Linked DNA regions of Saccharomyces cerevisiae S288C. The gene in region 2 interacts genetically with the main gene of each other region. Each region holds a gene or a part of one and is shown on either strand. Other genes may lie near its edges.

The links.
Region 1: mutations in GPX2 (region 2) and TSA2 impair growth when combined (synthetic growth defect), as found in Saccharomyces cerevisiae (one study listed by BioGRID).
Region 3: mutations in GPX2 (region 2) and PRX1 impair growth when combined (synthetic growth defect), as found in Saccharomyces cerevisiae (one study listed by BioGRID).

The regions. Positions count from the first base shown.
Region 1 is NC_001136.10:1,364,541-1,367,400, reverse strand, and holds TSA2 (thioredoxin peroxidase TSA2), read left to right. Parts: upstream 1-1,738; coding exon 1,739-2,329; downstream 2,330-2,860. Other genes in the region: GUK1 (guanylate kinase), read left to right, coding at 574-1,137; PPN1 (endopolyphosphatase), read right to left, coding at 2,499-2,860. UniProt on the Saccharomyces cerevisiae protein: Thiol-specific peroxidase that catalyzes the reduction of hydrogen peroxide and organic hydroperoxides to water and alcohols, respectively.
Region 2 is NC_001134.8:705,861-708,597, forward strand, and holds GPX2 (glutathione peroxidase GPX2), read left to right. Parts: upstream 1-1,667; coding exon 1,668-2,156; downstream 2,157-2,737. Other genes in the region: ALG7 (UDP-N-acetylglucosamine--dolichyl-phosphate N-acetylglucosaminephosphotransferase), read right to left, coding at 1-933; chromatin-remodeling ATPase ISW1, read right to left, coding at 2,290-2,737. UniProt on the Saccharomyces cerevisiae protein: Glutathione peroxidase-like protein that protects cells from phospholipid hydroperoxides and nonphospholipid peroxides during oxidative stress. Plays an important role in the oxidative stress-induced response in the presence of Ca(2+).
Region 3 is NC_001134.8:99,769-102,795, forward strand, and holds PRX1 (thioredoxin peroxidase PRX1), read right to left. Parts: upstream 1,389-3,027; coding exon 603-1,388; downstream 1-602. Other genes in the region: SEF1 (Sef1p), read right to left, coding at 1-347; KIP1 (Kip1p), read left to right, coding at 2,118-3,027. UniProt on the Saccharomyces cerevisiae protein: Thiol-specific peroxidase that catalyzes the reduction of hydrogen peroxide and organic hydroperoxides to water and alcohols, respectively.

The DNA.
Region 1 (2,860 bases), on a different chromosome or scaffold from region 2:
TGTCAATCTTGGGTGCCCTTTATCTTAGAGTAGCTAGAAAAGCAACGGAAACAGAAAAAGTCACACCGTGAATAATGATTGTTCGATATCAACTTTTGCAGTTCCTTGCTATCACGTTTGTGCAAGGTATATCATCTGTCATAATCCTTTGGCAAGACTACTGCTCTGCTACTCCTTGTGTGTGCTCACGGCAGGCTACAATGCAAAATTCATCCTAAACTCTGCTCTATAAGCATTAATAAGGTGAAATTTTCACAGCCTTTACATAAAAAACGACAGTAAGTGTATAAATGTGATTGTCAAAACTGCGACGATTCGAAATGATAGCTATTTGAAGTGTAGGTTATATCGACAGGAAGTTTCGGTTCTCGAAATATGTGATGCGTCTTTCCGGCGGCGTCGATGCTAATAGCAACCGTACTCATCGGTACATTCCAAATTTCGAAAAAAAGCTTGGAAACACATAAAAAAGAAAAAAAAAAATACATTTAGCATAAATGGATACACAATGGCGTTTCTTTTTAGTTGATAACTACAGTTTACTTCGGATAAAGATTAGTAAACCTTTGCGTTATGTCCCGTCCTATCGTAATTTCTGGCCCAAGTGGTACAGGTAAATCTACACTGTTGAAGAAATTGTTCGCTGAATACCCAGATTCTTTCGGGTTTAGTGTTTCATCCACTACTAGAACCCCAAGAGCTGGCGAAGTAAACGGTAAGGACTATAACTTTGTCTCCGTAGATGAATTCAAATCTATGATTAAGAACAATGAATTCATTGAATGGGCGCAATTCTCCGGTAACTACTATGGTAGTACTGTCGCTTCCGTCAAACAAGTCAGTAAATCTGGTAAGACTTGTATTTTAGATATTGATATGCAGGGTGTCAAATCTGTCAAGGCTATCCCAGAGTTAAATGCCAGGTTTTTGTTTATTGCTCCACCATCGGTCGAGGATTTGAAAAAAAGATTAGAAGGTAGAGGTACGGAGACCGAAGAATCCATCAACAAGAGGTTAAGCGCCGCTCAAGCTGAATTGGCATATGCTGAGACAGGTGCCCATGACAAAGTTATTGTCAATGATGATTTGGACAAGGCCTACAAGGAATTGAAGGATTTTATCTTTGCAGAAAAATGATGTAGCCCTATATAGACATTACTAAGTATGTACCTGGTAGGAGAGTGCTGTCGCAAAGCGACAAAACGTCCAATTATTCAATTAATATAGTGTAAAAGTTCTCAACGGGCTTATGCTAGTTTTTTTTGTTAGTAAGCGCTACGACGACTAGAACCATCTCTTGAATTTCCAAGTGCCAAAATCAATGACCACGGATACTGTGGCCAGGAATCTGTTGGTTGGTCATCCTCAAGATCTAGACAATATCATATTGGGCCAGTATCTGATTATCTTAACTATATGCGCCCCTCTAGTTTACAAGTTTTAGTCATTGGGGGTTGGAAGGGCTGATCCCCCCTTACAATTGGCGTCGTTTAGGAGCGGGCGAGGCTCTCCTTTCTCTTACACATCTGCTAAGGTGTTTGTTACCCGAGTAATCAAGGATCAACTATGGATGAGATTTAGATTAACGTATTTAGAGCAGACGATTGTAAGAATATATTTTGTAATTTCGATTGTTTTTTGCTACTTACATTGTTTATCTTGAAATATCCAAAGTGAACACTATTACTGTTTTTTGCTCAAGAATATATTAGCCTTACAAGAACGTAAAAAACCAATCATGGTAGCAGAAGTTCAAAAACAAGCCCCACCATTTAAGAAAACCGCCGTAGTCGACGGTATCTTCGAGGAAATTTCACTGGAAAAGTATAAAGGTAAGTACGTTGTTCTAGCTTTTGTCCCATTGGCTTTTTCATTTGTCTGTCCAACTGAGATTGTTGCGTTTTCCGATGCCGCCAAGAAATTCGAAGATCAGGGCGCCCAAGTTTTATTTGCCTCCACCGACTCTGAATATTCCTTACTGGCATGGACCAACCTTCCCAGAAAAGACGGTGGATTAGGTCCAGTTAAAGTTCCTTTGCTTGCTGATAAGAATCATTCCTTATCCAGAGACTATGGCGTTTTGATTGAAAAAGAAGGTATAGCTTTAAGAGGTTTGTTCATAATCGACCCGAAGGGAATCATTAGACATATCACTATCAATGATTTATCTGTTGGCAGAAACGTCAATGAAGCTTTGAGATTAGTCGAAGGTTTCCAGTGGACTGACAAAAATGGTACAGTTTTGCCATGCAACTGGACCCCAGGAGCCGCCACCATCAAACCTGACGTTAAAGATTCCAAGGAGTATTTCAAAAATGCCAATAATTAATCTTCGCACGATAACGCTAGGCCCTATTAAATAATTAAAAATACATCACCCTATATATGATAAGAAAGATGGTTTTGTATTATTATGAAATTGACTTGAAAGAATAGTGTAACAAAAGAAAAAGAAACTGTAATTGAAGAATGATATGCATTTCTATGTGTATATTAACTTAATCATCTTTATATCCAGAAGACGCAAATGACCATTCGACGTATTTTTCCCATGCAGGTTTGTTTTCGTATAATCTGCCTGCAAGATCCAAATAACTTCCTACTGTTAACGAATCCATTGAGTATGGTTTCTCGTCTGAGGTATATTCTATCTCATACCTGAAAATATCCTTAGATTCAACAAATGAATTATGTAATTCTTGATTGATTTTTTCCAAGTCGGCGTAGAATTGGACGAAACGCGTCGGAGTGAATAACTGCGGTACATATGCAGGGCCGAGTTCGTATTTGTCTGGCATCTCAATTGGCATAGTCTTGTCATTTTTCTTTTTCTTCTTGTTTTTCTTTTCGCCCATCTTCT
Region 2 (2,737 bases):
AAGCATCGTCTTTGAAAAATGACCCAGTATACCAACGACTGCGAATACCATTCCAGCGAAATAACAATATGTATCTCCCACAAACACTGTGGCGGGCCAACGATTCCATTTCCATAGCGCCAAGGATACACCCAAAAATGGGATAATCAAAACAGCGGAAAACCTATGGGAGTCTCTTGTGGCTAATGGCCCCATCGAGAAGTACAGCAAATCGTTCAATAGCGCTAAGATGGCCAACACTATACATTGGCCAACCTCTAAACCATTAACACCTGCCAGGATGTTGATGGAGTTGGGGCAAAAAATTGCCATCGATGCCATATAAACATAATACCACAGCCCCAAATCAACACTAGTCTTTTTCAACCAGCGTTCCATGAATCCGGGAATAAGTACATGCGTAACTCCAAAATCCACATAATAAACCATTAGCAGTGGGATGGCTGCAATGGCAGGCAAGAAAAACTTATGTCTCCAACGTAAATCAAATAAATCATCAGCGATACCCAAGAGGACCGTACTTTCCAAGCATAGGATAGCGCTCAAATATTCAGATAGTTTATCATGAGGAAAAATATTAGAATTCATACCGTTATCTTCAACCACTGAGACATCGCGATGGCCCCCACCTGAAGTGGTTATGACCATATACTTGTAGAAAATGAAGGGAATGTAAATGAACATTACAAATAAATAAACTGCAGCAGGGATAGCACCTATTGTTTCTGGAAGCACCGGACGGCCAGGTTTACTCAAGTCCTTACCGAATAGGCCTATTTTGATGAAGGATTTGCCCACACGTGGAATCAACATATCTGTAGCTAAATAGCCTGCTATACCAAATCCCACGGCCGCAACAAGAGCAGATGGGCCCTGATTTTTGGAATAGTAGATTAAGCATGTGATAAGTGCCAGTGAAAAAAGTCGCAACATATAGTCTACTTTTTGTTACCGTTCTCCGCCTTGCTCTACTTGATAAAGTTTTTATTTACATATTTCACAGTTATATACACATGTTAACAATTTAATTTTCGCGCTGTTTAGTAAAGCATTTTTCGAGATTGAGGCAATATAAAAGGAAAGGGCCATATACAGGAGATGAAGGAAACCTGTACTATTATTGTATTAAACACATGGTAGTAGCTAGAAAAAATTCATGCATCAACCTCTGTGTTTGTATTCGTAACATATAAATCCACAAGAAATTTTTTACTCATCATCCGCTAAAAAAAGGAAAATACGGACGTTACTTACTAAATGTACGACGAACATGTACACAAATCTTGACTATTTTTGATAGATGCAGTCTCTTGAAATGACCAACGACTCAGTAGTGTTTTCCAAGCAATTTTACTTTCAACTGTTTAATATTTTTTAGAGGCTACTCGGCCGGCCATATCTAGACAATTAGTAATTCCGATGACAAAGAGTTTAAAACCACAATATCTGCCACACATATCGTGAAAGGCATTAGTTCCATTGTCTCCGTATTAGTGCAAAGCCCCTAAGCCAGCCTGCTTTAAAAAATGTGCAGGTACTTTTGTTATTGTTTTGATATATAAAGAACTACTATTTGCTAATATGTGATGTAGCGCAGAGAACTTGCATTTCCCTGCATGGCTGACCTTGACAAGAATACAATTAGCAACAAAAAGTAATAATTCAAAATGACCACATCTTTTTATGATTTAGAATGCAAGGACAAGAAAGGCGAATCTTTTAAGTTTGACCAACTGAAAGGCAAAGTAGTTCTCATAGTTAATGTTGCCTCCAAGTGCGGCTTCACGCCGCAGTATAAAGAATTGGAAGAACTATACAAAAAATATCAAGATAAGGGGTTTGTTATTTTGGGGTTCCCATGTAATCAGTTCGGGAAGCAGGAACCGGGCTCTGATGAACAAATTACGGAATTTTGCCAGTTGAATTATGGCGTTACATTCCCAATTATGAAGAAGATTGATGTTAACGGAAGTAATGCTGACTCTGTCTATAATTATTTGAAAAGCCAAAAAGCAGGTTTACTAGGTTTCAAGGGTATCAAATGGAATTTTGAAAAGTTCTTAGTTGATTCCAATGGTAAGGTTGTCCAAAGATTTTCCTCCTTAACAAAACCATCGTCCTTGGACCAAGAAATCCAAAGCCTGTTAAGTAAATGATATCTTTGTCTATAATCAAGCAATTATCCGGAACAATAAATAATACATTTATAGATTAGTATGATTATATATTTTTCTTCAGAAGCATGGTGTAGGATATATTAAAAAAAATCGAAATATAAAAAAAGAAGGTTTAATGAGTGGTTTCGTTTTCCGGAATTTTCTCTGCTACCAACTGTTCAGTTCCAACATTCGACGTATCCTCAATCTTCGCTTTTTTGCTCTCTACTCCATCAACGTTCTCCTTCTCATTAGCGGTCTGATCTGCAAATTCTTCCCTTATCCTTTTACCATTTTCATCTTCTTTCTTCATTCTATCTTTAGTGGCGTCATCCAATACAATCCCTGCGTTAAATTCCTTTTCCAAGCATTGCAGTAATGTATTTCCTCTTCTGGCTAGCTCTACAGGTGTCCTGCTTCTGAAGTAAAAGTCTAATTCGAATAGGGGACAATCTCTAATTTCATCACGCACTAATTCGTATACGTCATCTCTATCCAAGCCATACTTGAATAACATGAGAAGGATAAAACGATCTTCTTCTTCAGAGTACGTCCTTTTGTTGTTAGAAGAAGGAGGATGT
Region 3 (3,027 bases), 610 kb from region 2:
TCGAGTTTAGATTTGATTTCATCCACATCTTGTCTCAGTAGTTGCAACTGTGAGCCCTTCTTAGGCCTGAATTGAGGATTGATTTCACAGTGGAGACCAATTTTTTCGCATCTGGAGCAAGGATGAGGGAAATTTTGACTAGCATCGCATTTGATTTTGTGCTGTCTACAATGTGTACATGAGGTAACTGGTCTATGGTTGATTTGATGACTGTCATCATGGTGAGATATTCGTTGTTTCTTACTTGGGAACTGGTGCTGTTGCAACTGTTGCTGCTCCGGTTGTCTTTTCATGTGAGCAGAACTAAAATCTTGGTCTTGGTCAGAATCTCGATTATCCTTCACCATGACGAGAATGCGTATACGCAGAGCCAATATAATCTGTATACGGGACCTTTGACATTAAGGTTTCTGCAGAGAGTTTATTACATGCATTTTCATATATATATTTTTAACGCCATTCCTTTACGGTATGTAAAGAAAAATGATCCAATGAGCGGCCCTTCGTACGAGATGAGATATAATAAGAATGAAAGATAGATAAAAGTTTTAGTTAGAGATACTTCATATACCTGTATATAGTAAAGTCGTTTATTTCAAAGCTTATTTCGACTTGGTGAATCTTAAATAGGGTTTAATTTCATTAAATTGACCAAATTTAGCCTTCGCCTCATCATTGGAGACAGAGGGAGGAATAATGACATCGTCAGCTGGCTGCCAATTAATTGGAGTTACTACGCCCTCCTTGTCAGTCAATTGCAAGGCGTCGATTACCCTTAACACTTCAGAAGTGTTTCTTCCGACGGTGGAAGGGTAGGTAAAAATCAGTCTAATCTTCTTCTTGGGATCGATGACGAAAACAGACCTCACGGTCTTCAGTGACCCATCATTGATATTTTTGAATCCTTCGGCATCTACCATATCATATAGGAATGCCACGTTTCTAAAAGTGTCACCAATTATTGGGAAACCAACATTTTTAACCTTTGCTATTTCCTTGATGTCTTGAATCCATTTTTCGTGGGACTCAACATCTTCCACTGAAAGCCCGATCAATTTAACATTTCTCTTGTCGAATTCCGGCTTCAATTTGGCGAATGCGCTGACTTCGGTGGTGCAGACAGGGGTGAAATCTGCTGGGTGAGAAAACAAGACCCCCCAAGAGTCGCCCAAGTAGTCGTAAAAATTGATTTTACCAACCGTTGTGTCAGCATCAAAGTTAGGAGCATCAGAGTTTATTCTTAGTCTTGGTTGATCACTTTGTTTGAATTGTTTGCACAGAATAGGTGCTGTGGCAAATGTTTTAATCGTCTGTGATTGCAAGTGAGCCTGCTTAGGAAGGGTCCATGCCGTCCTCTTTAATTGAGCGCTACAAATTCTACTAAACATCCTTTGCTTCCTGCTTCTTTGAAATTTATCTCATCCTACTGCGAGAATCTAGAAGCACAATTTTCTATATCTCTCCTTCTCTCTTTATATACCAATAGCAGCAACATCCGGCCCCTTGTTTCTTTACGTAATTAAAAATCTCCGGGGCTAGCTTTTGCCGGGGAACCCATCCCGAAAAAATTGCAAAAAAAAAAATAGCCGCCGACCGTTGGTCGCTATTCACGGAATGATAGAAAAATAGCCGCGCTGCTCGTCCTGGGTGACCTTTTGTATATTGTATAAAGATAAACATAGTGCTATCAGGAATATCTTTATATACACACGCATACTGAATGTGGTTGAAGTTCAAAAAATATCACAAACGTTAAGAAGTTTTACTGGTAAACATATAGACATAGTGGAGCGCTTGCTCGAGGTCAAATGCAGACGGATACGAGAGCGCGGGAGGGAAACCGGAGAAGGTCAATATGCCCATAATTCTTCTTCTTTGAGGTTGGCAATTATATATTGTATCTGAATTAGGCAAATAGAAAAGAGACCTTACCATTAGCGCCATCGTAGAGTCCCATTTCACCTTTTCTTAGTTCTTTATATATGTCTGCGTATGGCCCACATATGCGCGCACAGTGCGCGCCACCCTCTAAGAACGATAAACATAAAATAAACACATAAACAATCAACGACAGTTCGCGCTTCCCTCACTAAATATGGCGAGATAGTTAAACAATCATGGCTCGTTCTTCCTTGCCCAACCGCCGCACCGCCCAGTTCGAAGCGAACAAGAGGAGGACCATTGCACATGCTCCATCTCCAAGTCTTTCAAATGGGATGCACACTCTAACGCCGCCCACCTGTAACAATGGTGCTGCCACTTCAGACTCCAATATACATGTATATGTAAGGTGCAGATCGCGTAATAAGCGAGAAATAGAGGAAAAAAGTAGTGTAGTTATATCTACACTAGGCCCACAAGGGAAAGAAATCATTCTGTCCAACGGTTCTCACCAATCGTATTCGTCCTCGAAGAAAACTTACCAATTTGATCAGGTGTTCGGCGCAGAATCTGACCAGGAAACAGTGTTTAATGCCACTGCAAAAAACTACATTAAGGAAATGTTGCACGGGTACAATTGTACAATATTTGCATACGGTCAAACGGGAACAGGTAAAACCTACACTATGTCTGGCGATATAAATATTCTCGGTGATGTGCAATCTACCGATAATCTATTATTAGGAGAGCATGCAGGTATCATACCACGGGTTCTGGTCGATTTGTTTAAAGAATTGAGCTCCTTAAATAAAGAGTACTCCGTAAAAATATCCTTTTTAGAGTTGTACAATGAAAATTTGAAAGATCTGCTCTCTGATAGTGAGGACGATGATCCTGCAGTCAACGATCCCAAGAGGCAGATTCGTATTTTTGACAATAACAACAATAATTCATCCATCATGGTCAAGGGGATGCAGGAAATCTTTATTAACTCTGCACACGAAGGCTTGAATTTGCTAATGCAGGGTTCGTTAAAAAGGAAAGTGGCCGCTACTAAATGCAACGATCTTTCATCAAGGTCTCACACCGTCTTTACAATCACAACAAACATAGTTGAGCAAGATAGCAAAGACCATGGACAAAACA